Notamacropus eugenii: one gene and its partners. The protein of the gene in region 4 purifies or fractionates together with the protein of the main gene of each other region. This does not show direct contact. Links are inferred from orthologs where the notes say so. Each region holds a gene or a part of one and is shown on either strand. Other genes may lie near its edges. The genes, in order: YBX1, SMARCA5, TRIP12 and EZH2.

Region 1 (7,950 bases), on a different chromosome or scaffold from region 4:
GGAGGTTACAGGATTTTGGAGCTGGAAGGCATCTTACAAATCAAATCCAACTCCATCATTTTAGACATAAAGAAATGGAGATCTAGAAAGGAGATGGGCCTCCAAAACAAACTACTACACAGTAGCACAGATGGCATTTGAATCCATTCCCTTTCTACTACATGATAGCTGCCTCCATTACTAGAAAAAATTCAAGGGAGGTATCCTACACTAATAGCAATAATAAAACAACATTAATAGCTAAATTTTATATAGTGCTTATCTTACATAAAGTATACATGTATGTGTGTGTGTGTGTGTGTGTGTCAAGTACTGTATAAGGACTTGACAATGATCTCACAGTTCATCCTCGTAGTAACTCTATGAGGCACATGCCATTAGTATTCCCTTTTGCAGATAAGGAAAACAAGGCCAATAGGGGTCAAGTGACTTGTCCAGGATCACTCAACTATTAAATGTCAGGTCAGATTTTAACTGTCTTCCTGACTCCAGGAGCCACCTAGCTCCTGTCCCCAAATAGGTCAATTCCTTCACCTTTGTATACTAAGTGGACAATACATTACCTCAAATCAAAATTCTATAGCCCACGCCTCAACTTCCCCAAGCTGCAGAATCAGAAAGGCTCTACAGTTGTTGAAGATTTAGCAAAAGTTAGAAGACTATTATTTGTAGTTTTGGAAAAAATGGTTATTTTGCCATTTTCCTTAGTAATTTCACCCTACTGCTGGTCCTAGAGTCAGACAAAGAAAGGGAACAAGAGCACCAACGTACGCTGCTACAACAGGGAAAACAAATATAAACTGGAAAAGCTAAAAATTTTTTAAAGAAAAAACATTTTATATTAAATTTGGTTAGCCTCAATCTGAATTACTCCAAATTATGTAGACAGCTGAACCCTGCTATAATATGTAGTAATTCACTACGTTACTGCACCACAAACCCAAGACTACCCCCCTTCCAAAAAGGTTAATTGGATGCAATGTTAGTTAGGTCTCTGAACACCATCCTCACAAAGATTATGTTATTAAAAAAAAAAATGTATCACGATAACATATTTATTTGAACCAGAACAAGGGGAATCCTTCAGGAAGACTTTTCAGGAGGTTCTGACATTTTCAACTGGGTGGGATTTCTACTGTGCGGATTCTGCTCCATGTGCTACAGTAAGAGACAAGCTCCTCCAGCGAGGGCTCCTCCACCGCTACCGACTTACCACTCGAACCGAGAACACGTCGGACTGCTACAGTCCGTGTTCAGACACAACTGTTACCAAAACCACCCACGCACGAGGCTGCCGGCCCGCGGCTCTGCGGTCCCCGGCAGTGACCACTCGAACCCACGGCCCGGGCCGCGTCAGGGGTGGCAAGCGTGGGCCAGGACGCATGCGGGGGCAGGGCGGAGCGGCTCTAGCTTTCTCTCACCTGTTGATGAAACCATAGCCGTTTCTTACATTGAACCATTTTACTGTTCCCAAAACCTTCGTTGCTGGGAGAAAAAAAGAAGGAATCCAAGGTTACAAAAGAAATGCCCGGAGCCCCGCCGAGGCCCGGCCCCTCCCCCCAGCCCCGCCGCCCGGCCCGCGGCCTTCGGGGGGGTGCCGCCGGACCCGGGCGCAGCCGCCGGGAAGGCCGCAAGAGCCCTGCGAGCACGTGAGGGGAAGGCGCGCGCCGGCCCCCGCCCGGCCTGCGGAGGCCGGCGGCGGGAGGGGCGGGCACCGCGCCCTCGGTCTACACGCGGAAGGGAGGGAGAGCGTGCAGGAAGGGGAGGGGACCCGCACCACGGCGCTGGCCAGCTCGCCCGTGGGGCGCGTGGCCGCCCGGGAGGGCCCGAGGCCGGGAAACCGTTACACACGCGGCGGCCAGCGCGCGAGGGGAGAGGGGCGGGCGGGTGGGCGCGCGGCGGCGGCGGCGGCGCGCGGGGGTCCATAGGGGGCGCGGGAGGCGGCGCGCGGGCGCGGCGCCCTGGGCACGAGGACACTCGGCCGGCGCGCGCAGAGGGAGGGAGAGGAAGGGGAGGAGGTGAGGGCGGCGGCAGCGCGCGGAATCCATGCCGCGCGCCGCACCCCCCTCGGCTAACGGTCCCCCCCCACCGTCCCCACCGGCCCCGGGCTTGGCCGGGCCCGGACCATGCCCCTCACCGATGACCTTCTTGTCCCCGCCGGCGGGCGCCGCCGATGTGAGGCCGCCGGGACCGCCGCTCCCTCCGCCGCTGCCGGTGATGCCGGGCTTGGTATCGGCGGTGCTGAGGGCGGGGGCGGCGGGGGGGGCGGCGGGCGGCTGCTGGGTCTCGGCCTCGCTGCTCATTGTTGCGGTGATGGTGACTGGGGCCTGCTGCGGCAGCGGCGGCTCCTCCCGGGGTGTGATGGTGACTAGGCCGGCGGCGGCGGTGGGGCTGCTCTCAGGGCTCTCTGGGGTCCGCTCTCCGCTCCCGCTACCGATCGAACTAGCGAGAATGGCGGGACGGGCGGGATAAGCCCTCCGAGCGACCCGCCTTATGCTCCGCTCATTGGCTCAAAATGCCATCAATCCGCCACCTGACCAGAAGCGCCAGCTCTCATTGGCTAGGGGCGCATCACTCCCCCGCTCTCATTGGCTCTCGGAAGTGTAATTTGTCCAACTTACTAGCAATTCCAGCCTCCGCCGCCGCCGCCACCGAGACCGGAACTAGAACTAGAGTGAAGCCCCTGCTGAACCATAGAGTACCCGAGAGGGCGGGCAGAGGGAACGTGACTCGGAGCGTGGTGTAGTGCAAGCCCAGCCTAGTCCCGAGCGCTCTGGTCGGCGAGCTGGGTCGAGGTTGGTTGACTGGGCCGGCATAGAGCGCTCGGGATCGACTAGGGTAAAGGGGAGAGAGTTGCTCCGGGTTCACGCCCCACCATCCCCGGAAGTGAGGGGGGGGGCAAAATTGTCTACATGACACCTCGGCCGTCCGCCTCCGGGGTCCACATGGCCGGCTGCGGGCACCCAGGGGCCCCCGATTGTGGATTTTATTTCTTTTTCTAATTCGGCCATTTATCTTGTGACACGAACAACGCTGAGCCCTTTCCTATTAAGCGTCAGGCAGCAGTTTTCCTTTAATTATATTAGGGAAATGCCCAGATATAGGGATGAACATCGTGGAGAGAAATCCTACGATGAACTTTATTTTTGATAATGGCCAGAATGAGGAGGAAAGTGATCGCCTTCCTCTCGGCCGTCACGTGCAGGAACGGGATTTGTTCAGCCTAGCCCAGCCTGGCAGGAGGCTGGGAGGGCAGTGGCGGGTGGAAGGGGGCAGTTTCCTAATCGTCAACGGCAGATAAAAGCGCCGCCCCTTGGGGTCGTGAGCTCACCCTCCCCAGTGTGTTGTAGATAGAATAGTGGACCTTCTCCTGCAGCCCCCAACCCTAATTGTCTGGCAGCAAAACTGGTGAGGGGGGCGTGGCAGGGCAAGGCTTTTTTGTTCATGCGCAAGATGTGTCCGTAAAGGGATTTTTGTGTGCATCAAAAAACTGGCCCCCAAGGCAATCCTTGGAGATCCAGACAGGTTTTGAGCAAGAGAAGCCTTGATGAAGGACTAGGCAAGCACACGTCACCAAAGTAATTACTTTGAAGGCCAATTTATTTGCAAATGGCCTACTGGTTTAAATCTAGATCCTACTTTTTGAAAATAGGAACCCACACGCTGACCAGAAGGCATGGTTAGCCACTGCAGGTGCTACTGGTGCGATGGAGGATAGAAAGGAAGCAGGCTCCTTGCCCCTGTGAGGGCTGGAAGGGCAGGTGTGAGGCGGGGTGGTAGGGGACTTTTAACTGCCCTAGCTCTGACACTGTCAGCTGCTGGTAATTTGGTGAGTTACTGTACCCCAAGTACAGCAGGAGACCAGCGCACAAGTTTTGACCTGGTTGTTTTATTGCAGACTGCTGAGGCCAAGGCCTCCCAAACTATTCCAGCTAATTTTCATCCTATCACCAGCAGCTTCTTTACTCAGACCCTGGCCCTTTTCCTTGCTCTTAAAGGTAGGCATACAGAGAAATTGCCTCCTTTGTCCGGAGGACAACAGCATACTTGACACAACTTCCTAAAATCCTAAGCTTACTACATTCCTTTGGAATTCATTCCTCTCTTGAATCTTCCTCTATTATTGTCATAGTCCCTCAGCTAAAGGATCAAACAGGAGAAAAGCAGTAGGAATGGGAGAAAACTGACCACCTGCCTGGAACACACATTTCTACCAGCTGTCCCCTTCCTCAGTTCAGCTATGTTCCATAGTTATGTGCAGCACTGCCTAGGAAAGAGAAAGATGCTAGCTAGGAGGTGAAACCACAGTCATCCCAGCAGGTCTAGCTTAGCCAGAGTGAACAGACTGAGGCTCACCTTAGATAGAGTTTTTTTAAAAAAAGACAACCAAAACACAAGCTTTATTTACAGTTGCAAATTTAAAAATGAAAGGCTTGGGGTCCTGAATCCATGACAGGTCCTATCTCTTGATCACAAAGGCAGGCAGTAACCAAGGAAGCAAGGTGGAAGGCCAACCCATCTTCTCAGAAGCATCACTGGGGCAAAGGGAGCCTAAAACAAGAGAAACACGGACTTCTGTGGAGGCCAAAGCAAGGAAACAATTCTGAACAGATGGGATGAACCTGGCCAACTCTAAATGAAGTGGTGGAAAAGGATACTGACCTTAGGAGTCATAAGAGGAAGGCCCAACCCTGGCCCTGTGCTAAGTCACTATGAGCCTCTGGACAAATCAAACTTTTCTAAGTTTAGTTTCTTCATCTGCAAAATGGGGACCCTGCTATCTGCAGTGGGTGACAAATAGGATAAGGTATGTTGTTGGGAGTCCTTTTTTAAGAGTCCCGAACTGTTATTAACAACTATTATCAGGTACCTCTGTGACCTGCCTGAGTAGGGAAAATAATAGAAGTACTCCTGCCAGAGGGAAATCCTAGGGTTAGGCAGAGCTGAATTGGGCTAAAACTTTGCAGGGCTTAGGGTGAGAACTTCAGCAAACTCTAGCAAAAAGCCCCAGGACTGGAGTCAGAGTTAGATCCTGTGGGAGGGGCAGGAAAAGCGAAAGGAACGGCTCCACCCTTCCCTTCCCTTCGCCCAGGTGGCCATGTACCCAGCAATCACTCAATCAAGGCAGACTGCTGGGATCAGTTCCTTCTTACCTCCACACTTCTAACCGCTTTGGAATAACCCTGGAGGTTCAAGTTTGAATTCTGGAGCCCAGCAAAGTGGGCTAAAAAGTGGCCCTTCAGCCTTTGTAAAACGCAGAACAAACATCTCTTGCCCATGGTAATGGCTGCTATTTGCACTGCAGGGCGGGGCTGGCTGGATCTGGGGCACAGGCTAGGCCTGTGTCAGGATCCAAATCGCTGCGCTTGCTTCAGAATTTTGAAAATATTTGTCTTTGAACTGTATAATGCCCAAAGTGAGGTCTGGCTAAGCCCTCTTGGATCTTAATCCAACCAGCAGGCCTGGCCTGAACCCAAAATAACCTCCAAGAGCAGACCCTTGATTCAGGGCTTCTTACTATGTGGCAAGGCAGTTTGGTATAATATTCTGCTCCAGGAGGCAGGAGACCTGGATTCAAGTCCAGTCCCTCATTAAATATATGGAAGGAAAAGTCATTGCCTAGTTCTGGACTTCAGTTTACCCATTTGCACAACAAAGGAGAGGGTCAGATGACTTTCCTTCCCATCCACATGTTCTAGAATTCTACCTCCGGCAAGCAAGTATTTATTTGGTGAACAAATGCCCAACCTCCGGTGTGCCCAGGACCAGTATTTTCACATGAAATCCCCACCACCCCAGGCCCAATATCGACCTAGACATTATTTCCAAGAATTGGAGGCAGGTGCAGAAAGGTAAATGGAAGGGAATCTGCCCAGACCGGCAGCATCATCAGAGAGGCTGCTTGTCTTCTGGTTCTTCCAGTACCTCAAAACAAGGTGCTGCAGGCATTAATTCTGTTCTCCTAGCAACTCCGGATGCCAACTGAGAGCAACCAGAACCTCCTCTGCCTCTGGCGAGCTTTTTCATTATTGGAAAAATAAGGGATTCCTTCTCTCAGTAAGCTGCCCAGTGGCCCAAGGGCTCAGACATGTTCAGTCTGGCAGGTGTGGCCTTTTTAATGAGCCTGAAATAGGAGATAAGCCTAAGTGTAAGAATGGTCAAGGGCCCATGAAGAGAGAGAGCAAGTAGGCTACCACAGGCTCCTAGGATCCAGAGAAAAAGTGTATCTGAGAGATCATCTAGTAGCCTTGCTCTTGACGGAGGAAGCAGCTGATTCCTACAGAAGGAAAGGACTTGCTTTGTGAAAGTTTTCACCAGGTAGAAACAGCACTGGACTGAGGTTCCAAACCCACTTCAACACTTACTATTCTGGGATCATGGGTCAGTCATAGAACTTCAGTTTCTTTATCTGTAAGGTGGGCCTAATACTTGTAAAATCTAGTAGGGCCACGGTGACACGCAGATATGATAATGTATGTGAAGTGCATACAGAAACATCAGTTCTTATGTTGCCCAAAGTCTTCCTGTCCCTTCATGGCCCAACTGAGGTCCGTCAATAAGCATTAAGTGCCTGGGCTTATTAAAATAAGCACTGTGCCAAGTTCTAGGGATACAAAGAAAGGCAAAAGATAGTCAGTCACCTGCCCTCAAGGAGTTCACAATGTAACTGGAAAAGACAAGTAGTAAACAAGCAACATCTGAGGATAAATGGGAAATAGTGAGAAGGTGCCACAAATACGAAGGGTTCAGAAAAGCTTCCTGTAGCAGTTGGGATTTTAGCTGGAGCTCAAAGGAAGGCAGGGAAGGCTTGTCGGTGGACATGAGGAGAGAGCATTCTGGGCACAGCGAAAATGCCCAGAGCTAAGAGATGGAGCGTCTTGTTTGAGGAACATTCAGGAGGTCAATGTCACTGGACTAAAGAATACTTGGGGATTGCAGATAGAAAACTGGAAAAATGGGGGGGAGAGCGAGGTTAGGAAGGACTTGGAATACCCGAGGACTTTGTAATTGATCCTGGAGATGACAGGGAGTCACTGGAGTTTGTGGAGTATGAAGGTAACATCATCAGACCTGAGTTATAGGAAAATCATGTTAGTGGCCGAATGGATGATGGGATGGTGTGGGGAAGAGACTGGAGGCAGGCAGACCCACCAGCAGCTATGATAATAGTCTTGGCATGAGGGCTTGCACTAGAAGGGATAGCAGTGTCAGAGGAGAGAAAAGGATGCATATGCAAAGAGAGGTTGCAAAGGTGAAATCCAAAAGCCTTGGAAATAACTTGGATATGGCAGGGGAGGAGGACTGCGAGAGACAGTGAGGGGTCCAGGATAACTCCTAGGTTGGAAGTCTGAGGGACTGAGGATGGTGGTGCTCTTGTAGCAACAGGTTAGTTTGGAAGGGAGGGTTTAGGACAGGGGTGGGGAACCTACCACCTCGAGGTCACACGTGGTTCTCTTTGGTTGAATCTAAACGTCACAGAACAAATTCTCTTAATAAAAGGATTTGTTCCATAAAAATTGGACTCAGTCAAAAGGCCAAACCTAAGGACCTAGAAGGCCACATATAGCCTTGAGGCTGCAAGTTCCATACCCCTGGTTTAGAGGAAAAGATAATGAATTCTGTCTTGGACATGTTGAGTTTAAGACATCTACTGAACATACAATTTCCAAAATGTCTGAAGGTTTAAGATGCAAGATAGGAAGCCAGCAGAGAGGTCAGTGGATAAATAAGAATATTCGAGACTATTGAGATAATTAAAGGTGAAGTTTCTCCTCTGGAGCCTTCCCTGATAACTCCTCAATACCCAGACACATAAATACACAAGTGATCTCTTCCTTGTCACATTTCTCCCACTCTCCCAGGGCTTTGAGACCTATCTCTCTCCCCTCTGGGCCATCAATGTTTGTGTATCTGTCTGTCTCATCCTGACCTCCGTTCAATGATCAGGTC
Region 2 (7,869 bases), on a different chromosome or scaffold from region 4:
AAATTAAAATGGAAAGTCCTAAGAAAATAAAATGTACTGTTTCAATAATAATCATTATTACAATTAAAGTAAAACTGGGTTAAAGTCTGCATACCCTTTCTGGCCAAATAAGTATTAGCCAACAGAGGCCAACAGAAAAGACGCTGAGGTATACTGCAAAGATGAGGGTAGAACAATAGTTTCTGTAAAGAATGGAAACATATTATACTCTCCACACTGCAAAAAGCAACGGATGAACAGAAATAATACTTCTCCACTAGACTACAAATCCTAGTGCACGTTGGTGTGCTATTACAGTAACTATGGCAGGAGTCACAGTAAAGTCACACCAAAAAAATCTATTAAGGCTATTTCAGAAAATTCCAAAGTTCAGAAAAAGTCACATTAAGCCCATCAAAAAGAATAAGAGCATTCTTTCTTTTAACAGACTGAAAAAGATTCAATTCTGCAGATTTAGGGAAGATTTAGGTTATTACACAGCATGTACCTCAATAAAGGACAGTACTGCTGCTCAAGCACAACACTTTACAATCTAAAGGAGAAAATAACACACAAGTATAAAGCTGTATAAAGAGAACCAGTTTAAATAAGGGACAACTACCCTAAGAACCTTTAAAATACAATCTGGAAGTAAGAAATACAATGACTTTCAATGAAAAATGTATACCAGAAGTCTTGTAAGAAATGTCAAAATTACTAAGGTCTATGGATAGAAAATAAAAAAATTCCTGAGCTCGTACAACATACCTTTTTACAAAATTATTATATTAACATAAGCTATTTAATTTTTATTCATACACTTAAACTGTAACTCAATTTTAACTTAATTCTTTTGACTTGCAGTGTTCATTACATTTCTTTGTTGGGATTTCAATAAACTTTCCAGTCTGCCCTAAAAATCATTACAACTACCCAACCTCAAAACCTTAGCTCAGTCTCAGGGTGGGTCTAGGGCATTTTTCACCCACTTTGATTTCTAGTATGAATGTTTAATACAATCTCTTTCCTATCCTATAGATTTCAGTAAAAGGGTTTTTGTGAGTTCTGGGTTTAATGTGACTTAATGCATCACTGAATAGGAAAAATACAAGGCTTTTTATACTTCTATACCTCTCAATCACTAAGGACTCTAAAATGTGGTAGCATGCCTCTTCCCTTCTCATATTTTCAAATAAGGGAAAAGATGCAAGACGAGATTACGTGAAATTCAGAAGAAGTCTAAGATAAGGCAAAAGCACTTTGCAACTTTTAATAGCACTCAATAAATCTGAGCTATTATTATTACTAACAAGCTGTAGGAGATTGAACAGGATGGCATCTCGGAAGTTAATTATCAAATACCAACGACAATCTCAAAAGAATAAACTTTTGAATAAAATGTTAAGCAACCCAAGTAACAGGACAAATGCAGGGCAAACACAAACTTCAAGGTAACTACGAAGAAAAACCTGAGTGAGAAAAGACGTAAAGGGAAACATCAAGGACTTCATAATCAGAAAAGGAGGGCAGGCTGTCCGTGTTCCAAGAAAAACAACAAATGGACAACTGGAGTGATACTTTCCTACCCCCGCTACCCAGCTAGTTCACGAACCAGAGGAAGAAGAATTTACGAACAAGAATCATAAAAAATGGGAAGCGCATGGAGAGGGTCTGGGATCTGCTTCAGCCTGAAATCTGCACCAATTACGTGTTTAAAAATCAAAAACTCCTGATATAAAATACCATCTAAAACTTTCCAAAGTTGGCATCCAAGTTTGCTCGAAAAGAGACGACGACCAACAACCCCCGGCAGTGTCTGTAATTGTGACACACGAACGGCTCCGGGGCATCCCGGGCCGCCCCGCACCCTGGGTCACCCGCGCGCCCCGACGTCGCACGGAGGCTGGGCCGGCCGCCGGCCTCGGTTTCCTCGCCTGGAGAACCGGCACGGTCAGAGCCCCGGCCCCCAGGGGGCCGTGGGGACGCGGCTGGGGGAGGAGGAGAGGAGGGGCGCCCTGTCAGTCCGGGTCCCGGGCTCCCCAGCTGTCACCGCCGCCCGGGGGGGAACTCGCCCCGATTCTCACAGCCGAGGGTGGGGGGGGCCGACCCCCGCCCCGGAGGAGCCGGCCCCGGAGGGCCCGCCCGGCTGACTTTGTTCTCCCTCCCCCGCCCCCGCGGCTCGGGGCTCCAGGCAGGGCCTAGCCGCCCGCGGGCTCGGCAGCCGGCCCGGCGCTGGCGCAGCGCACAAAAGGAGGGCGGAGGAGGCGGAGGAGGCGGGGGCCGGCCCGGCGCGTCCGTGCCCCCGAGGCTGCGGAGGGGGGGTGCGGGCGCAGCTGCTCCCCGCGGCGGGGCCCCGGGGCCTGGCCGGCTCGTTCTCCATTGTCTCGGCCGTGCCGGCCCCGCGCGGCCGCCGCTCGCCCCGCTTTCGAAAGAGCCACAACTTGGGTGCGGATGACCTCCGAGCGGGGGGCGCCGAGGCGCGTCCCCGGGCTCCAAAGTTAGGGAGAGGGGCGCGCGTGCTCCGGCCGGCGCGTGGGGACCTGCGGGGGGCGTTAGCCGGCGTCCCGGCGGGCGCCCGGGCTCCGTCCCTCCCTCCCCGGGCTGCCCCGCTCACCTCCATCTCCGCGTCGCCCGCAGGGGGGGCGGCCGCGGCCGGGGCGCTCTCCACGCCGCTTTTGTTGTGGTTGCCGCCGCCGCCAGAGACGGGCACGGCCGGGGCGGGGGGCACGGTCTCCGCGGTCGGCGGCGGGGGTGGCGGCGGCTCGGCCGCGGACGACATGCCTGCGGCGCGGCCGGGCACACGGGTGGCGAGGAGACGCCGGGACGGAGCTCTCCTCCCTCTCTTCCTCCTCCTTCTCCTCCTCGCGGGGCCCGCCGGGCCGGCCGCTCACCTCTCAGCGGGACGCCCGTCGCCTGGAGCGGACGGCTGGGCTCGGAGTCGGGGGAAGGGAAGGGAAGGAAGCCTGGGAGGAGGGGAGGGAGAAGGAGAGCGCGCGCGAGGGGCAACTGGCTGCTTTCCCTCTGCGTCCTCTCTCCTTGCAGGCGCTTCTCAGCCTCCTCGCCACCAACCAGGAACCAATGCCGTCCTTAACACAGACGCCGCCACCGCCGGCTTCCAGTTCTCGCGAGAATGCGGGCTCGCCGGCCGGCCCTCCGATTGGCTGGCCGGCCCCACTCGCTCCCTAGCGCGCGCGCGATGGCCCTTTCCCCACCCCCTCCCTCCGCCGCACGCGGGGCGCTGGAGGGGCGAAGAGGGCGGGTCCTGGGATGCGCGTGGAGATTGGGCGAGCCAATGGGCGCCCGCCCGTCGCCGCGAGGAGCGCACTCGCACGGCCCCCAACGACCCCCCTCCAACGGCCTTCCCCTACTGGTCAGGCGCTGGCCTTTCCTTTGCTGGCTCGCTTCCAGGGGGCCGACGGGGTCCCCGGGCGGCCCACGGCGCAGACCCGGAATCCCCGCGGCCGGGCCCCGCAGGAGTTAGGCCCCGGCCCTCCGGTCAGTCCCCTGCCGTCGTGCTCTTGAGACGTCGTCCGAAGCCGCGCCACCCGGCCCTGCCCGTGCGGTGCGGCCTTCCCGCGACCTCCTCCCGACGCGGACCTGCGTGGGTGTGGGCGCGGAAGTCCGGAGCCCGGGGGCAATACGTGACTCGAGCAGCGCCCCGGTGGGCCGAGGGTGGGGTTTGAACCCAGCCCTTTCCCGGTCCACTTTAGGATTATTCTAGATCCCACGCCCCCTCCGAGGATCCACAAAGTTGTTCCTCACAGTTGGGAGCGCCCGGAGGGACCCACGTCCCCCGAGTCCGGAGCCCCGGCTCCCGGGACCATACCCAGGATCGCGGACTTGGATTTGAATCCGGGGCCTGGGGAGCCCCAGTCCTCCTCCTATGCACCGGCCGGCATCTCCTGTTTGGCCTCGCCGCCCCCAGCGTGCTTCTTTCCCCCTTCCTTTTTCCTCCCTGTAAGCTCAGAGGAGACCCACGAAGAAAACGCAGCCATCGTCGTGAGTGGGGCGGTGGAGCCGCGCCCGGGAGGGCAGGAGGCATCTTCCAGGCAGAAGCTCCTGGAGAGGCGGGAGAGACTGGCATTGTGCGTGGGTCCAGCGCTTCTGTGAGCAGCCTGGCATTGCTGGCCGAAAGGAGCCTTCCGTGTGCCCTCCTAAGCATCCATAACACCTCTTTGGGTGGCAAAGACCCTCAAAAGCGCCCGTGGTCCCCCCTCCATCGCGAAGAAAGCCGTGCCACGGAGAAGGATGGCATGGCTTGTGCTGGCCTCTGTTGGGAGGGAGGGCGGGCTGGGCTGGGATGGCCTGAATGTCATACTGCTGTCACATACATAATGTGAAAAGCCAAAGAAGCACACCGCCCTTCAAGCATCATGAGTGTAGAGCTGGAAAGGCCTTGGATGCCGTCAAGTCTAATCCGATTTTACAGGTGGAGACACTGAGGGGCAGAGTTGGTGGGGGTAGGCCTTCAGTAACACAGCTAGGAAGTACCTGAGGCAGAATCCCAACCCAGGTCTGCCCCTGGCCTTACTGCATCACACTGCCCCCCCAGAATACAGATGTGGCAAACTCCAGGGGCTGGGTGTTGTTGAGTCTTTTCAGTCATGTCCGACTTCATGTCCCTGTTAGGGGGATTTCCTTGGCAGAGATGCTGGAGTGGTTGGCCTTTTCTGTCTCCAGCTTATTTTACAAATGAGAAACTGAGTCAAAGAGGGTTAAATGATTTGCCCAGGGTCACATAGTTACTAAGTGTCTGAGGCCACATTTGGACTCAGGTCTTCCTAACCTGAAGCCTGGCGTTGTATCCATTGTACCACCAAAGAGCCCCAAATAATCTTAGCTAACATTTATATAGCACATACCAAGCGTGAGGCACTGTGCTAAGTGCTTTATGGATATTGTCTCCTTTGATCCGCATAACAATCCTGAGAGGTAGGTACTTTTGATATTTCCATTTTACAGTTGAAGTAACAGGCAAAAAGGTTGAGACTTGTCCAAGGCCTTATTTGAACCCAAGTCTCCAAGACTCAAAACTCATCATTCTATCCTCTTTGCTACCTAAGAGGTTCTATGCCAAAGGTCAGTAAGGGGCACAGTGACGATTCATGCTCGTGTCTGGATCTGAGTTCTGTGTTCTTTCCACTGTTTCACACTTCAGCTAATTCGGAAAACTAACGAATCTATGCACATAAGTAGATAACAATATATTCAAAGTAAACAAGAGAATTTGGGAGAAGGAGGTAATAGTGCTTTGAGGATCAGGAAAGGACACAAGTCAGCACTTAGGCTGAGCGATGAAGGAAAAAAAGCAAGGGACTCGAAAGGTGGAGTTGAGGAAGAAACTCATTCCAGGCTTAGGGTAAACCTGTTCAAAGACAGAGACAGGAAATAAAATGTTGTGTATGAGAGACAGTGAATAGATCTGTTTTAATTAGACTATGGAGTACAAAAATGGAAATAGTAATATGTAATAAACTTGGGAAGATAGGCTAGGAACAGTAAAGCTGATCAAAGGATTTTTTTATTCATTCTAGAGGTCATAGAGAACCAGTGACATGTTTCACTTAGCAATTGTGTAGAATACATGAATAAGAGAGGTGAGAGCCTTGAGGCAGGGAGAACAAGTAGGAATCTATTGTCTTGGTACCAGTGGGACTCGAGAGCCTGAACTAAGGTGGTCACTGGGTAAGTTGGAGAAAGACAAATAAGAGAGAGGTTATGGAGATAGAATCAAGAAAACTTGATAACTGTTTCCATATGGGGGTGTGTGAGGGCATGGAGTCAAGGGGAAGAAATATGATGTGGGAGAATTGTGTTCATCCTTCGTTGCCAAAGAAGGCCATGCCATCAGAGAGATGACATGACTTGTATTTGACTTTGTTTTGAGTGAGGGAAGGGTGTGCAGGTCACCAGCCTCACTTCTCCTCCAGAGCCATCTGAATCCAGTGACCTGATATTCCTCAGGATGACTGGAGATGGCCCAGGATGCACTGGGAGACCTTCAGCCCTTTAGGCCAAGGTCTCATGCAGGAGAAAGGGCATTGAACAAGGAATATATCCAGGTTCTATTTTTACCCAGCTGAGGCAGCTGGGGTTAGAGTGCTGACTCAGTACAGGAAGAGCTGAGTTCCAATTTGACCTCAAACACTAGCTGTGTGACCTTGGCCCCTTGGAGTCACTTAGCCCCTTTCTGCCTCAGTTTCTTCAACTGTAAAATGGGGATAATAATAATAGTAGGTGGTTGTGAGAATCAAATGAGATATTTGTGAAGTGCTTAGCACAGTACCCAGCATATAGTAGGCACTTAATAAATGTTTGCTGGCTTTTCTTCTTCCAGACCTCACCCCTACGCCTTTAGCTCTACCAATAATTAGCCACATGACCCTGAGCAAGTCATCCACCAAATCTTTGAGACTCATCTATAAAATGAAGTGAATGAGCTAGATCAGAATCGTCAGATCAGTGGCTTTGCCCCTACCCCTTGCTACACACCTAAGTTCTACAGGAATCAAAATGTAATTGGGAAATATTTAACAAAATAAGTAAAAAATAGAATATAGAAAATGTTAATGTGTGATTTTCAGTATGTAGCCAGCAGGAATATTTCTATTGGAGTTTGATACCACTGAACCATATTATATCAGATATGCCTTTAAGCTTTTCTAACATTGTATAACTCCTCCTACCCTGAAAAAACTAAGACTAAATAAATGCTGTAATATATGTACTACATAATACTGTCTTGTCTGTGTCTGGTTTTTGATTTGGTTTGGTTTGAGTTTTTTAAGAATAATCACTAAAGTCAGTATTTGTATCTGCCGTTACAGAAAATATTTGTCATCACATTACATTTCTTTTTTCTCCCTTGAAATTTACCTAGGTCTATCCCCCAGGTTGGGATGAATAAAAATAGATCCGTCCCAGGATCTAGATTTTAAAGAATCAAACATCCTCTTGGACAACGCCCTTAAAGACAGCTTTGTGCTGCTTCCTTCTTGCTACATAGGAAAGAGATGTCACTCCCAAGGGTGACTAAGAGAGATCTAAACCAGAAGTGTACAACTCAAATAGAAACAAGACCACTAAGCCATACATAAGGATCCCTACAGCCTGCATATTGACTTAGAAAAATGCATATTAACATTATATTCTATTGTATTTTTATTTTGTTAAATATTTTCCAATCATATTTTAATCTGGTTCACACCCAACTCAGCACTTACTTTAAGTTCTCTTAGAGAACATCCAAGAAGGAGGGAGAGAGAGAGAGAGAGAGACTGACTCTTGGTGGGAGTAGTTTTTAGAGCCAAGGACATGATAAGCCAGCTCCTATTCATATAAGGGAGTGTTACTTATCTATATTCATATATCCTAACCAAGACCACTAATGCTCAGTTGACAAATTCAGAACATGAAGCATTCATCCTAAAAATGACTTAGAAAACTGTTCAAGATATGCACATAGAAATGAAGCCTGTAAAGACAAACCACCCTTTTCCTTTTTTTTTCTTTTTTTATTCAGAATACAGAAGAAAGCCCAGCAGAATGGCTACGTGGAGGAGTGTTTGGTAATTGGCTTGGGAGTTACATATGTTTGTAACTTTCTCTGCAGAGGTGAGAAGACAAAGACCTGAGAGTAGGCTTTCCCAACCCAAAAGGTGGCAGCAATAGGGATCAACATACAGTTCCCACAAAAGTAGACATGCTTGCCCACTCAGCTTGAGAGGGGAGTTCATGGGCAACATTTCTGAACCACAAATTTTCTGTGCAGAGGAGACAAAATTTATTATTTGTAAAATGAGAGTCTAATTTTCTAGCCAGAGAAGAGAGATTTGTTGGGCAGTGCCATCCTTAGTGCCAGCCAAACTCTGGCTCCAAGTTTGAAACTTT
Region 3 (7,659 bases), on a different chromosome or scaffold from region 4:
AAAAGCAAAATTCTCTTATTATAACAGCAATACTAACAACAATTGACATTTGCGTAGTGCTTTGAGGTTTGCAAAGTACTTTGCCTTTATCCCATTTGATCTAGGATTTACCTGTTATTATAATTGCCTTGCTATTTAATGTGTGTATGGCCCAGAGAGGCTACTGATGAACCTTTTCAAGAAAAGGATGTGATCTGTCCAGTGAAAGCATAGGCTCCCTAGCCCTTCAAATGGGGGCTGGAGATAGATGCTCTGCTGGCACCATATCCTGTCTTCTCCAAGCACACTCTGGTATTCTTGATCTGGTTTTCTATTTCTGTCCATCAGCATATGACTGGTCCATGTATTGCTTGAGTCAGATTCAGCGAGTTTTTGGTTTCCTCTGGCCAATGAATGTTTTCCGTTGTGTAAAGACTTCCCTGGTGCAGGCTGATAGTGGCCTTAGCCTTAGTGGTCCTCAGGTTTGCCATGACTCTTACAAGTCTACGGGCAGTTTCTGTGCTTCAAAAGCATAGGCACATTCAATCACAACAGCTCCTGGATGTTTCATGTGCCTCTGATGGGTGCCACGGCCTACTGCACTGAAAGGATTTCTCAGGTGACCGAGAGCTATTTTAAACTGGCTAGGGACTACTTGACTGCTTCCTTGATCAGGGCTCAGTAAAAGCAGTCAAATATGACAAAGCATTATGAATATACTTACCTTCTATTATTTTAGTGATTTGGGAATGACTAGGTGCTAAATGGATAATTAGCCCAACATTTTGCCCACTGCTAAGGGCACACAGAGTAAGCCTTAATAAATGACTAACATTATCAATTGTGGCAGATCATACCATATAGATTAGCTCCAGTATGTCTGAAAATTTCTTGGAACTGTCCAACCCACAAGCATTTATCAAGAGCCTACTATGTGTCAGGCACTGTGCTAGGCTTTGGGGACAATATAGGGAAAAAAATTATGTCTACCCTCAAGGAGATTACACTTAATAAGAAAGGCCCAAATATGTGCTAGGTCTACTATTTTTTAAGCTCTACAAGCTCACTATATAATGATGGAGTCAATTGAGTATGCTGGTCCTTATATCTGAATGAATGGGAATGAAGTCAAAGGTGCTCCAACTAAGGACAAAAAAGCCTCAATCAATTTATATCTGGAAGGTAAACTAAAATGGAATGCTGTGGTACAGAAAAAGTGGTCGACTGGCTGCAGAAACTGAGTTATTTCCTGTGGGTATTCTACAAAAAGGAGAGTGGCATGGATGAATGAATGTTCTCGTCAGTCCCTCTGAACAGTGGCTTGGTAAGGAGGGGGGGACTTCATCTTCTACCTCTGTGGTCATCTGCCCTCCTTCCCTTGTTGTTTGTCTTTCATTTTCAAGGAGGACCAATGACATCATGGTGACATCTTGACTTATTCATGAACTGGATTTAAGGGAGGTAGAGCTGCACAAGGTTGTCAGCCTCAGTTTCTCTTTCAGAGTCTTTAAAATCCATAGAAGTCCAGTGGCAGGACAAGAGTCAAGAAGATTGATGACGGCAGTGGATGCGGTGGGTGACATTGTTGTCTTCAATGGCTGACCAAGCTCTTAAGCTCTCCACAGCACCTTCAAGGCCACTGGAATAAATTGTTCTCATTCGTTCATTCCACCAGGGAAGTCTTCACACGTTTGGGGAATACATCCCCTAAATCACCAGTAGGTTTGAGGTTTAACCCATTGGCCGAGATGGTTCTGTTGGAGTGTGGTCACTGTGCACACGGCTTCTTGGAGCCACAGGTGAGAGTCGGGGGAATCAGGGGGACCCCCAGGGTGGATGAGCAGTCCTGAAAAGGGCTTGGCAAGCCTTCTCACCAGAAGGGTTAGTCCTCTTGAACACCACACACACCCTGATTTCCCCCCCAATAACAGGCAGGAGTTGTGTCAGAGAATTTGGCTGGGGACGTTTAGTGCCAACTGTTCTCACTATGTCATCTCAGTAACCAGATCTTTCTAAAAACTAATAGAGTCTGACTACCTAAATGATATCAACAATCATGACAAGAAGCACGCTGGTGAGGGCTCGTGAGCTTTGGTGTTAGCAAAGACAACCCCCTAGTGCACTGAGGGGGTCTAGGAGCCCTTCTATGAGAACCTGACTAGTAAATGGGAGGGGAAGTTGGGACGGCTGCCTCCCAACATTGGCTACAACCAGGAGGATCTGGACGCTGTTATTCACAGATCACTTCTGTTGTTAGCATTTATACAGCTTAGGTAAAGTTTACACAGCACTGAACAGAAACTACCTCATTTAATCCTCCCAACAACCCTGGGAAGTAAGTGCTATTACTATCCGCATTTTACAGATGAAGAAATGACATGGAAGTAACGTTTTGACTTCAATAGAAAAGAATATTGACTCAAGAACATCCGTAAATATCTTCGAAACTATCTTCTTTGTTATGATTTTCTGAATTAACCTCAGGGCAAAGTAATTTCTCCTCTCAATTTAATTCAATAAGCATTTTTTTTTTTATGGTTGGGTGACAGACACTTTCTAGGTGCTGGGGGTACAAAAACAAAAATGAAAATAACTCTGCAGCCTCAAGAAGCTTATAGTCTACTGGGAGGGTGTAGGAACAACCTGTATGCAATGAGCAAATGCAGAATATGCGCACATATGTATATACAATTTTTTGGGGGGGAGAATATGAATAATTAGTGGTAGTGGGGAATCAACAAAGGCTTCATCTGGGAGCTAACTTCTGAACAGAGCCAAGACATATTGCTAACGTAGTATTGTACATACCCTTCATTTTGCAACGAGTTAGATACTGCCTGGGGAGATTTCTCTTACAGGACTGTTGCTAAATAACAATTCAAGAGTTAAATTTTTATGTACAGTTCACCTTCCCAAACTAAACTGTAACCCTTCTTGGAGACAGGGACCACGCCTTATTCTTCCTTGTATCCTCCACAATACCTAGCAGAGGGCCGTGCTTACAGTTGAGGTATCTATATCTACGTATCTGTTAATCGATGAAAAGGAATGAAGCAAGAAGAGCCCTGGCAGCGGCCCCCTCCCCCCCCACATGCGTCATTCGGCGGTAAGCACGGCCCCAGGTACAACACATCTCCACCTGGGCACTGCGGACAGGCCCATTTTCTGGATCCGCAGATCTGCTCTGATAACGCACTGCTCTTATCAGCTTCGTCGCCTCCTAGCAGCCAGCCTTTAACTGTAACCGCCCCGGACAAGCTGGAATGCACGGACAAGCACGCACGGCACACACATGTGCATGTCCACGCTGGCTTATCTGCACACGCTCACTCTGAAAGTCTTCATCATGAACATCCGTCGTGCTAACGCGAGCGAAGACGTCTGTACTGCACGTGCGCTACGACACGAGTCACACCGAAAACACCATTTATCTCATGCCGAAAACAGCCTGGCTGGATCTCCTGAGTGGGACGACAGAGCAGACGCGTCCTAAGCCCACACGGCCGCTGGGCCTCCGGTCAGCTCGGTCAGCCCCGGAGGGCCACCAAGGTCGGGCTGGGCCACCTCGCTGACGCGGCAGGGGCCTCGGGGTCACCTGGCTCGCCCAGGTCGCAGAGCTGCTCCGGGCCACCAGGTCGGACCCCAGGCCCGGCGCTCCACGCTCTGAAGCCTGCCTGCTCGCTGCCCAGCGCTGGGGCACAGCGGGGGGGCTGCGGAACACGCACACCCGCCGCACTGCGGAACAGCAGAGGCCTGCGGGCGGGCACGAAGCGGGGAAGGCCTGCTTCCCCACATCGAGCGCTTGGCAGCTTATTAAGGCCTATGGTCAATAACGTTCCAGGGCTCCTCCGAAGCCCACAGACTCATTCTGAGTGCTTAGAAGGCCTGGAGGAAGGAGCAAGGCACCTTCACACACTCTTCTTTTTGGAAGGATCGAAGTCGTCCAGAAGTTCCAGTCTACTCTCATCCGCACGTGATTGACGCCCGGCCACCCCAGGGCAGCACTTCCTCCATGCCAAGGGGTAGAGGTGTCTTTGAGGACACCATGAGAACACAGGGTTATCGTTCTCAAAAAAAAAAAGGTACAACGTGCTGGCCATGTTCTGGTTTCTACAAGGTCCTAGACCTTCAACAAATCTGTTTAAATTTTGACCAATTAAAAAAAGGCTTTTAAAACACTTTCGACTTAAGAGAAATGAGAATTTTCACAGCTGGAGCTCTGGGAAGACGCACGATACAATAAAACCCTGGCCCGCTCTCTCCTTCCGAAGGCGTCTGGGGCGCTCCAAATAGCCCACCCATGGCACCCCGGGGGTCCGTGCCTGGAGCGCACCAGGCCCCGGGCCAGGCGCCGGGAGGGGATCCTTCGGCCCGCGCCTTCCCCTCAGGGAGCTTCCCATCTCCTGGGGAATGTTTAGAAACCCGGAATAGGGAGAACGCCCCGACCCCGGGGGTGCTCCCGAGGTGCCCGCGGCGGCCCCCCCCCCCCCTCCCGCTCCAGGCCTCCGCAGGGCCGCGGCCAACAATGGGGGGGGCCGGCGGCGGCGGCGGCGGGGTGGGTCCCGCACTCCCCCGACGGTCCAATCCTCGGTCACATTGTTGAGAAGCAGATGTCATTATGGGTGGAGCTGACACTGCCGAGCAGCTGAAACATTTTTCTAGCCCAACTCACTCCCAGCCTGCCCCGGGAGAGGGTCTGCGCCCCAGACAGGTGAGTAGAGCTCCGTCCAGCACCTTCTCTCCCCAGCACCGCCCCCCGCCCCAGCCCCCACCCCCTTAAGGGGAACCCGGAAGTTCTGACCCGGGCGGCCGGAGGCGTAAACGCTCGAGTGAAGAGTTCAAAACTTGCTCCGGCCTCTGGGCGCCCGCGCAGACTCGGGCCCCGGAGCCTCCCCCAGCCCGGCTTCTCCGCGGGACGCTCAGGAACCGGCCGTGCTCTGGCTCTCTCCTCGTTTCCTACTGCGGGCCGAGGCCTGGAGGCAAGCAGGGGTGGGGAGGAGGGAGACCGGGGCGAGCCCGAGGCAGGGCCGAGGCGGCCTCTGCGGGCCTGTGCCTTGGCCGCGGCTGGGATATGACCGAGGGAGTCTGTGCGGTTGTTCAGAGCTAGGGCTAGGGAGCTTCCGGCCCACTCGGGCAGCGCCGGGGGGCCGTATCTGGGGTGGGGTCGAGCGGGGACGGGAAGGTGACCCGAGTGGGCGTTCCACGGTTCGCACTCGCCTGGGACCGGGTGATCTGCAGCTGGTAGTAGTCTTTACTCGGCGCCGGGCCTTGTCCGCCGGCTTCGAACAGAGTCTCTGGCAGCAGCGACGCCATCTTGGGACGCCACCGCCGTCGCCTCGGCAACCAGGAAGGGGCGGGACTTGGGCTGGGGTCATGGGGCCAAAGTCCTGGTAAATCGGGGCCCAGCTTAAGGGCTAGAGGGCTTCCAATTTAACGTGCTCCGGGCACCCCTTTATCCTCTGTGGGGCCTGGTTCAAACCACATCCATGAAGCTTATACTTTGGCGACCCCATTGACCCGAAGGGGAATTAGTTCCTGCTACCAAAAGAGAGACGGGTGGGGGTGGGGGGGGTGACCCCGGCGGAGGGATACCAATAGAAGCCTACACATCCCCCTTCCTGGTCCCTCGTAGGGATCGGGAGATCTGAAAGCGGTCGGGGGGGGAAACGGGGGTCGGGCGGTGGGGGGGTGGGGGGGGGTAATGTGATGTGCCGCGGGTCGGGCAGTGGGGCCTGTCCCGCGGGCATGTCCCTGGCGAGGAGGATAAAGTAGTTCCTCGCCAGAGTGTTAGAACGGGTGGGGGGGCGGGAGGGGGAGGGAGGGAGGTGAAGGCGGAGGGGGACGCTCGGCGCGGTGCTGCGGCTCAGCTGATAATTGAAGGGACCGGAGGATCCGCTGCCGCCGCCACCGCCGCTGGGGGGGGGTGGGGGGTGGGGGAAGAGAGTGGAAGTTACTGCCGCGCCACGGAGTCCGGAGCGGAGACTCGGGGCCGAACTAGGTAACTGAGACGCGCCTGCCGGGGCCGGGCTGGGAGGCCCGCCGCCGCGGGAGGGGGGAAGGGCCGCTGTGGAGCCGGGGGGAGGGGGCGCGGGAGACCTGTGGGGGGCCGGCGGGCGCAGAAAATCCCCGGGAGCCTTGTCGTGTCACCGCCTCCATTCGGCCCCATCTCGGGCCTGCTGCAGGCCGGGCCCGAGGCGCCAGGCCCGCGGTAAGGGGCGGGAGCTGCACTGGAAAGATGAGTTGGAGAGGTTTAGGATTCGGGGCCAGGGGAGGGGGAGAGAGAGTGGGGCAGGGAGCGCCCGCCGCCCCCGGAAATGAGGGTCCTTTGGAGACAGTTAAAGGGGGTGTGTGTGGGGGAGACGACAGGAGAACTGGGGGTCCGAAATGGGGGTTCAGTCGTCCGAGGGGGGTGTAGGAAGAGAGTAGTGGGGGGCCGGAAGTGCAGGTGGGGGGGGTCTATGGAGACGGAGAGGGTTCCCCGGAAATGGGACAGGGGGCCCGGAAATGGGGGGGAAAGGACCACTGGGAGGCCCGAGGCGGCCCGGAAAGGGAAGCCTGGGAGCCGGCGGAGGCACCCCGGGGCTGGAGGACAGCCGAGGAGCCGAGCGGGGCTGAGAGAGGCCGCGGGCCCTCGAGCCGGGGCCGACCGCGGTGTGTGCGCCGCGGAGCGAGGATGGAGGCGGGGAGGGGGCGGGGACGCGGAGACCCCGGAGGAGGGGGCGAGCCAGGGCTGCCCCCCTACGGAAAAGTGAAAAGTTGGGTCCGCCAAGGCTCTCGGGCCCTCGGCTCGGAGTGCTGGCCACGGCCTCGGCCTTCCCCGGCGTGTGTGCGCGCGCGTGTGTGTGTACGTGGGCACGTGGTGCGTTAAATAAACACCGTCTTGTCGCCTCCCGGCCCCCCCAGCACCCCTCTCTCCCGGAATGCTTGTACAGGAGGGAGTTTCAGTGACAGTGCCCGAGGACACGGACCCCACGCGTTCTCGCGCATCGTCCACCCACGCGGCGAGCTTCTCCTTGGAAGAAGCAATTCCCCTTCCTGCTGATTTTGAGGGGGGGAGGTTAGAGCCCAGCCCCCACCCCAGACTGGTCTAAATGACGCCGGTGCCCGAAGTCCTGACGGGGGTGGGGGGATTGGTTTCTCCTGGGCACTGTGGCGTACCGAGAGGCTGCTTGCAGTTCGCGAAGAGGTTTTCGGGTTGGTGAACGCCAGTTGGCCGTGGAGGTGGGCCCTGACGGAGGTGAAGCGGGATTGCATTCGGAGGAGGAGGAGGAGGAGGGGCTGGGGGCTCCGGGCCCGGGCTGGCGCCGGGCGCGCTGTGGGTGTGCTCGGACTCTCCCGGGCTGGCTCCGGGGCTGCCCAGCCACCCGATTTCCCTGCTTTCCCAGCCTCGGTAGGCCCCTGCCTGCTGGCTCGGAACTTTTCATTCTGCTCGAGAGTCTCTCCCGACCGGTTAGGGGGCATTGAATCTCTCAGGCTCCCGAGAGTTGAGGCTTAAAATCCCCGTTCTGAAATAAAGGCAAGTTTAGAAAGTTGAAAGAGCTATTGAGTAGGGAAAAAACCGGCTCTTGGAACAAAGGTCCTAGTTGTGTGGGAGAAGGCAAGAGGCCTGTCTCCGAGGCCTGTGTGTGTCGCATTTACACCGTGGGGGAGGGAAGCGTTCAGGGCTTGCTTTATTGGTTG
Region 4 (7,359 bases):
TGTAAAAACAAGCGTAATAATGGCAGCTACTCACAGAGTAAATGATAGTATCATATCATATATGTAAAGTGATTCTTTGCAGACTTCAAGACTCAACTCAAATTCCACCTTCTACAAGAAGCCTTTCCAGTACCCTCTACTGCTTTCCAGCCACACTCTACTGCTTGTGCCTTCCAAGATTATTTCCCATTTACACGGTATATATGATTATATGTACAGTTAGTTGTTTGCATGTTGTCTCCCCACTGGGATGTTATTTCCTTCAGGACAGGGATCATGCTTTCTGCCTTTCTTTGTATCCCCAGAGCTTATCACAATACCAGGCCCAAGTGTTTAATATGTACTTGATGAGTACTTAATATATGCTTGGTGAGTTGACTGTTAATTGAAATTTTTCTAGTAATATAACAATATGTAATGGATCTTAAATCTGTATTTTCATTCCAACTGCAGTCACGAAACAACAGAATTGTCAGAACACTGACCTATTTATATATTCAGAACTGGGACCTCTGGTCTCAAAATATCCAAATGACCATCAAAGAGGTATGACAGACTCATCTGGGCAAATTTGTGACCAAAATTATTAAAGGGATTTTTAAAAAAGGAAATAATTTAAAATGTTTTATCACTCAAATTTAAACATTATTTATTTATTTAAACAGTCTACCTCAACAGTCTAGAGAGAAATCTGTTGTCTTTTTTTTTTCCAATGGCCATCACATAGCAGAATATGATTTAAAATTCTTACTTTAAATTTAACCTGCTTTCCTGCACACACAAATTTGTTTCAAAAGCATATAATGTCTTGAGATATATTCCTTAACATTTTCACATTACATCCCAAAGAACATCACCACACACAAATGGGAAATGTCTTTGATAACTATATATCCAGAAGTCAAACTATAGGAGCAATGAATAGTTAGAATATATATCAAAATAAATACTTGCAAATAAATTAACAACGAAAATGGCTAGGGTTACATATCTGTTCCAGTCTTAGTACAGTTCCCAGCTCATAGTAGGCACTTAAAACGTGTTGACTTGACAAGAATAAAGCATCTAGGCAGATGTTTTTTCCTACACACAAAAACAAGAAAGGATTTGGATTTGCTTTCCATCCTTGTAGGGAAGAATCAAGAAAATCAAAATGCTAAAGAATGGCAATATGGTATAATGGAAAGGGTGTTCAATTTGCCTCAGGAGACACCAGGTTCTGAATCTGACTCAGCCACTTACTATTTTGTGTGACCTTAAACAAGTCAAACTCTCTTAGCCTTGATTTCCTCATGTGTAAAAATAAGAATGTTACACTTGGTAAACTTTTTATGTTCAGAGCTAAATGTTGGTGTCTTAACGGTGTATAATGCAATCGATTATTAAACTAATGTTAACTAAAGTAAAAAGAAGATATACACAAAAAAGTGAGGACAATCTTTAAAACAGTTAAGTAAACGACTCAAAAATATGATAATTAAACATCTTTATTTCATAAGCTTCGTTAACAGACTGTTCAACACACAAGGTTTTATTCCAGTTACTCAAAGGAAGTTTTTAGCCTAACTATGAGGCATTATTCATTCAATTATTTATATACAGAGCCATTTTCACTCCCAATCATTTCTGAATCACTAAAGGGTATTTTTCATGGCAAACAAATTCAATTAAAACAAGAATGCTACTGTGATCTAAAAAGTCACATTTAACCTTGGCATATTCAAATCAAAGAGCTCAAACAAATTTGCCAATATCATTATTTCAACTCCTGGGCATATGGGATGTATATAATAAGTCTTTAGCACCTGCCTCCATTCTCAAATCAGATTGTGAAGTTGAACAAACGGCTTGAAATTTGTAAACGGATTGAAAAGTTGCTTTCAATATTAAGTTTACAGAGTTTTCCAAAAGCTTGTCACCCTGTCCCTGAGCAGAACTCTATCCCAAGTGATAAGTTTTCAGAAACAAAAAGAAGCGAACTTCAACCGAAAGCACTCAATGAGAACAAAAGAGAAGGAAAAACAACTCAACTCTTCCCTCAAACTAAGCATAAGGAATAGACTAGCTTTCTGAAGCCCGGAAAGAGCACGGGAGAGAAACCTAAAAAACGGCCCCAAATCTTTCCCGTGCGAGGGAGAGGAAGGGCTATCCTAAGGCTGGAGGAGAATTCTCCAACGGTGCTCGAAGTTGTTTCCTGTGGGAGAGGACTCGGAGTTCAAGATCTCCCTCGTGCACGCTGTCCCACGCTAAGTGCGGCCAGCGCTGCATGGTCTATAAGCTCCGAGGGGGGAGGGGAAGGGGACCCGGTAGGGACGGGGGCTGGGGAAGGGGAGGAGGGGCGCCCTTTCTCCTAAATTGAGGCCGGCGCCGCCGACCTACACCCCCCAACCCCGCCCGCAGCTGGGGGCCCAACTTGTGCCGCCCCCTCCCACATGCCCGGGCTCTCTCCGTCAGACACAGTCTCTCCTTTGTCTGAGTGCAAGGTCCCACCAAGTTGTGTCCGTCCCGTCACGCCCGGAGCTCTCCCGACGCCCGGCACACAAAGGACACTTGGGGCGGCCGGGACGGGGCCCCGAGCCCCGAACCCGACGGATCAGGCGGAAAAGGAAAAAGGAGAGCGGGTGGTGTGAGGCGGGAACCAAACAAAACACCCCAGCACAGCGACCCAGCGCTCTCCCGGCCGTTTCCCCCCACCCCGGCCACTCCATCCCCTGCGTCTGCGGCCGCCCCGAGCGCGGGCCGCCGACCCCCAGTCCCCCCAGCTTCGGGATCCCTTCCCCCCGGTCATACAAAGAAGGCGCCGGGTGAACCCCTCTCCGGGGCGATACCCGGAGACGAGCAATATCGCCGCCGCCCGTAACTCCTCGGGCTCCTGAGCCCGTCCCGCTAGCCGGAGCCGGCCGGGTGGCTTTACCTTCTTTCCCTCTCCCCAGCCCGCGCCGCTCCCCGCGCGCTGCTCCCGCGCGCCGCCGCCGCCACCGGTCCTCCGCTGCTTTCTCTGTCCCTGTGGGTGTCGGATGCTACCGGACCGAGCGCCAAACCTGACAGCCCAATCGCCATCGCTCTCATTGGCCCCCCCACTACAATCAAGCGCCGCCCCGATTGGAGGGACGAGAGGCAGGCTTCCATCCAATCAGAGGGCCCGCCGAGCTCCCAGGCGCCGGGAAGACCCACAGCCCCACGCATATACTTATCTCCGGACGGTACGCACACATCCACACATACACATATTCTCATATACGCGCACACATACACACACACACTCCCTGAGACGCTGGGGGTTTTTACGTGCGAAACTACCGCCGCCGTCCCTTTGTTCTCTCGTTTTACACGCAGGGTACGGATCGGGAAGGCGAATGGGCCGCGGGGCGAACGCGGCAGGGGGAGGAGGGGAGGAGGGGCCGGCTGGACGAGCCAGGCCGGGAGAGGGGCGGGGAGGAAAGGGGAAGGATCTGGGTGGCGGGCGGGGAAGGACGGAGATGTTGCTCTAATCTTGGCGGGAATAGCCACCTCCGAGCCCCGGCGGGGCAGGGGAGGGGAGAGGAGGGGAGGAGGGGCGTCGGAGGGGCGTCGGAGGGAGGTGTAGTTCAAGGGGCCTTGGCGGCCAAGTTTGAATCAGTTCGAAACTCAAGGCGTGGTAACGGTTTTAACGGCCGCGCTCTTTCTCCTTTCTCTCCCGAGGGGCGGGCTGGGCCAGGCGGGGCCCCGGGCGGGCGGAGGTGAAGTGTCCCCGGGAGACCCCGGGAGTTGGGGCGAGCCCAGGCATCCCGGGGCCTCCGGAGCCCGCCGCCTCGCCTCCGATCGAGTCCGGCCGGAGGCTGCGCTTGACGGCCGCTAGGGGCGGCTCGGCGCCTGGGGCTCTGCCGCTGATTTGCATGCGAGGCGCGCGGCGCTCCCCGCCCGCCCTGGCGGGAGCCGGGCCGACTAATGAGCGCGCTCGCTTGGGGCGGGGAGCGCTGGGGCGCTCGGCCGTTAGGGGCCCTCCCGCCGGCAGGGCCGAGAGCCGGCTGCTCGCTACCTCTGCCGGGCCTCCGGCCGCGGGGCTGCCCTTAGAAAATAAGTGAAAGGCTGTCAGTGACGTTCCCAGCCCCCGGGTTTGAGAGCCTCGGCGGTGTGGTGGCTGCGAGCCCGAGCGCACGTGTCGGCCTCCCAGCCCCGCGGGTGGAGCGCCCACATGCGCTGGGCGGAATGGAGAGCGGCCCCCGCGCGGGCGGTTTGTGAAGCCTTAGTGACCTTAGGAAAACCCGGCTCCACACGCGGGAACAGAAGCCGACCGTACACCGCGTGAATTGCACTTTTTCGGTGGTTTGCTTGGGGTTTTTTTAACCAAGACATTAAGGTAGTTTAAATTAAATTTCTAAAGGGACACGGGCAATTCATTTTTTAGAATGTTTATTGATATGTATGCTGTTTTATACACGTATGTATACATTTATATGTAATTTACATATGTATACATTTAACTCGATAGGAATTGCCCACTTACACTGGGACTAAATATTATAATTGAGAAAACCCCAATGATCAAGTGTATAATAAAGAACTACAAGGATTACGTATAATTTGTTTTTCAGTTTGTAAAGATGACACTTAAATGAATATGGATTCCTATTCACCCCTAAGGGTATAGTAGCATGTCCTATGCATCGCATGGCAATCTATGGCCTGCACAGGGTTCACCCAAGGTTCTAGGCTTCCTCTATATCTTGTGATCGGGATGCCAACAGAAGCTGGGGGCTTTCCATCCGTTATCCCTCATCCTTTGTCACATGACCAGCCCACTTTTTCTAGTGGACCTTTTTGTGTCTTGCACCTCTGATGATATTCTTTCTGGTTGCCTCCTGTTCAAAGATAATACTAGAAAATTCAAATCAGAAGTCTTCATTTAGTGACTTGCCCTGTAATTTCTATGGGACTCATCACCATCATTATTCCCACCCATAACCACATGCAGTCTCCTGTAGGGAGGAGATTTGAAGATTTGGGATTATTGAAATGTACAATGCAATACAGCAAATAGTAACAAATAGGCAATAAATATTAAGTGCCCACTGTGTGCCAAACACAGTCCCTGTTCTCAAGGAACTTATAATCTAATGAAAAAGAAAAGGAAGCTGAGTGGGGAGGTTGAAAAGGTTCAGCGTGGGGCCATGATGGTACAGTAGAATCCAAGCTATGCCACTGGTGGGAAATGAAGAGTTAGGTAGGCTTCTGAGCTCTCTGTAAATGGGGGATTTGGGGCGGGAAATGTTCAGCCCTCCAATCCAACTGAAAGTAATTTAAGGTATTGAGATGTGAGTTCCAAAGCTAATGCAATCTCTATAATGATCAATTACCTGGTGATAAGCTTTTTTTGGAGAGGGGGGGTGTAATAATGATCCAGACAGTGCAACTGGTAGGAAATGAGGAGTTGGCTAGCATTCTGAGCCCTCCACATGGAGACTTGGGAGAACTTTTTTTTTTTTTTGCTCCAGAGTCAAAGGTATTGGCAAAGAGAACAGTATTGGGGTGGGAGTTGTAATCAACGTTTGGTCATGTAAAGGGTATGACAACTGTTTTAAGACTACATAAAGTGAGCATAAAAAATGAGTCTCCGTGCAATTTGTCTTTTAAAATCATGCCTCATGGAATTTGGGTTTGTTTGGTTTTTTGGTCTAGATTTGTGATATTTATATGGAGCATTCCTGGTTTGGGAATTCCCTCCATCCATGATAACTTAAAAGTTTTAGTTACCTGGAACACTGAGAGTTTAAGTGATTAGCCCTTGGTCACACAGCTTGTGTCAGAGGCTAGTTATTTTACTTTCTCAAAGCAAAACATTTCTGTTTCTGGCAATTCACAGTTCCTTTCGTAGCTAAGAAGTTAACAAAGTTAACAAAAGTTAACAAAAACTAGTCATCAATCAGTAAGCACATATGAAGCACCTTCTCTGTGCTAGCTACCATGCTGGGAATAAAGAGATGATAGTAAGACTGTCCCTTCGCAGAGCTTGCATTATCCTGGGGAGATACAACATGCTCACAGATAAATTTAAGATTACAAGCACAATACTCAGGGTAGGGGAAGGGAGTATCTGTAAGAGCCTTGAAAGTAGCTAGATGTTCCAAGAGGCAGAGGTTCTTTAGAGGAAGAGCATCCCTGGTGTGGGGGCCAGCTGGTACAAAATCATGAAGGTGAGAGGTGAAACAAAGTAGTCACTTTGGAAAGAGGTTTAAATTCCAGCAGCATGGAAGGCAATAGGGAGCCTCTGAAACTAGGGGTTGACATGGTCAGACTTGTGTTTTAGGACTCAGTTTGGCAGCTGTTTAGAGAATAGATTGGAGTGGGGAAACTAGTTAGACTTTTGGAATAAACTGTTCAGATAAGAGGCAGTGAGGGCATGCACTAGGATGCTATGGTATGAATGGAGAGAAGGCACCTCTTGCCTAAAGTAACAGCCTAAGTTGAAAGGATGTCGAATAAGAGATCTTTGTAAGATAGATATGTAGGGGGGGAGGGAGTTCCAATTTTTGCTTATATCATTTGTTTTTATATCACCTTCATTTCTCAAACTTTCTTCTCCACCAGCCCACCCCCAGCCTCTCCCAAAGAACTATCCCTTATAACAAAGAATTAGGAAGTCTTTATGGAAATAATTTGAATATAATTAGTATCTAGATCTCTACAGATAGGTGCAAAAGGTAAAAATGTATATATCCAGTACAGAACAGCTTTTATTCCTCATGCAAAGAAACAAAAAACAATGAAATATTGAGTTTAAGTCGACATTGTCACTCTGCTCCCCCTCTCTTACCTACAGGGACCTAAGGTCCATTGTACCATACTTTGGTTTAGGTTCTTCTCAGAAAGAAAACAGATATAGAATTACTAGCAAGGACAACCCCTCAATAGTCCACTGAGTCAGATGCCTTTCACCACATAAACTTATACAGGTCTTATAGTAATACTTTGATAATGGAGAGTCTCCCAAAATAAAAATGAACTTGCAGTTACTAGAAAAGCATCCTTTGCAATAGACTCACACTGTCCAAATCATTCCAGATAACAGCAAAAAGCAAAATTCATTTTTTGCCTTTTTTTGCTCCCATTTATCAAAGCTTTAACTTCTTGTTGATCCCTAGGCTTCAGGGACCACAGGAATCCAATGGTTTCTCCCTATGTTGCTGTTAACTACCAAGAAAATTACATTTTTCTCACAATTCGAAGTAAGTAGAACCAGGAAAGCAATATATAATCATAAACATATTGTAAAGAAAAACAGCTCTAAAAGACAAGAACTGTAATCATTATATTGACCAGTCATGGTTCCAGAAGGCCCATGTTAAATCATGCTTCCCACTACTTAACAGAGGTGATGGA

The links.
Region 1: the proteins of EZH2 (region 4) and YBX1 purify together in Homo sapiens (affinity purification with mass spectrometry, with the first as the bait; 3 studies listed by BioGRID). This does not show direct contact. The link is inferred for Notamacropus eugenii from reciprocal best matches to the Homo sapiens genes EZH2 and YBX1.
Region 2: the proteins of EZH2 (region 4) and SMARCA5 purify together in Homo sapiens (affinity purification with mass spectrometry, with the first as the bait; 3 studies listed by BioGRID). This does not show direct contact. The link is inferred for Notamacropus eugenii from reciprocal best matches to the Homo sapiens genes EZH2 and SMARCA5.
Region 3: the proteins of EZH2 (region 4) and TRIP12 purify together in Homo sapiens (affinity purification with mass spectrometry; 3 studies listed by BioGRID, with this or other methods). This does not show direct contact. The link is inferred for Notamacropus eugenii from reciprocal best matches to the Homo sapiens genes EZH2 and TRIP12.

Annotation. Positions count from the first base shown.
Region 1 is NC_092876.1:74,521,876-74,529,825, forward strand, and holds the start of YBX1 (Y-box-binding protein 1), read right to left. Parts: upstream 3,086-7,950; 5' UTR 2,304-3,085; coding exon 2,138-2,303; intron 1,486-2,137; coding exon 1,422-1,485; intron 1-1,421. UniProt on the Homo sapiens protein: DNA- and RNA-binding protein involved in various processes, such as translational repression, RNA stabilization, mRNA splicing, DNA repair and transcription regulation.
Region 2 is NC_092877.1:140,691,686-140,699,554, reverse strand, and holds the start of SMARCA5 (SWI/SNF-related matrix-associated actin-dependent regulator of chromatin subfamily A member 5), read right to left. Parts: upstream 3,146-7,869; 5' UTR 2,759-3,145; coding exon 2,594-2,758; intron 1,742-2,593; exon of another isoform or gene 1,726-1,741; coding exon of another isoform or gene 1,723-1,725; intron 1-1,722. UniProt on the Homo sapiens protein: ATPase that possesses intrinsic ATP-dependent nucleosome-remodeling activity.
Region 3 is NC_092877.1:329,353,289-329,360,947, reverse strand, and holds the start of TRIP12 (E3 ubiquitin-protein ligase TRIP12), read left to right. Parts: upstream 1-4,628; 5' UTR 4,629-4,690; intron 4,691-4,772; exon of another isoform or gene 4,773-4,958; intron 4,959-5,196; coding exon of another isoform or gene 5,197-5,292; exon of another isoform or gene 5,293-5,368; intron 5,369-5,815; exon of another isoform or gene 5,816-5,977; intron 5,978-6,132; exon of another isoform or gene 6,133-6,187; intron 6,188-6,548; exon of another isoform or gene 6,549-6,630; intron 6,631-7,108; exon of another isoform or gene 7,109-7,200; intron 7,201-7,659. Other genes in the region: FBXO36 (F-box only protein 36), read right to left, coding at 5,197-5,292. UniProt on the Homo sapiens protein: E3 ubiquitin-protein ligase involved in ubiquitin fusion degradation (UFD) pathway and regulation of DNA repair.
Region 4 is NC_092874.1:98,220,524-98,227,882, reverse strand, and holds the start of EZH2 (histone-lysine N-methyltransferase EZH2), read right to left. Parts: upstream 3,005-7,359; 5' UTR 2,915-3,004; intron 1-2,914. UniProt on the Homo sapiens protein: Polycomb group (PcG) protein. Catalytic subunit of the PRC2/EED-EZH2 complex, which methylates 'Lys-9' (H3K9me) and 'Lys-27' (H3K27me) of histone H3, leading to transcriptional repression of the affected target gene.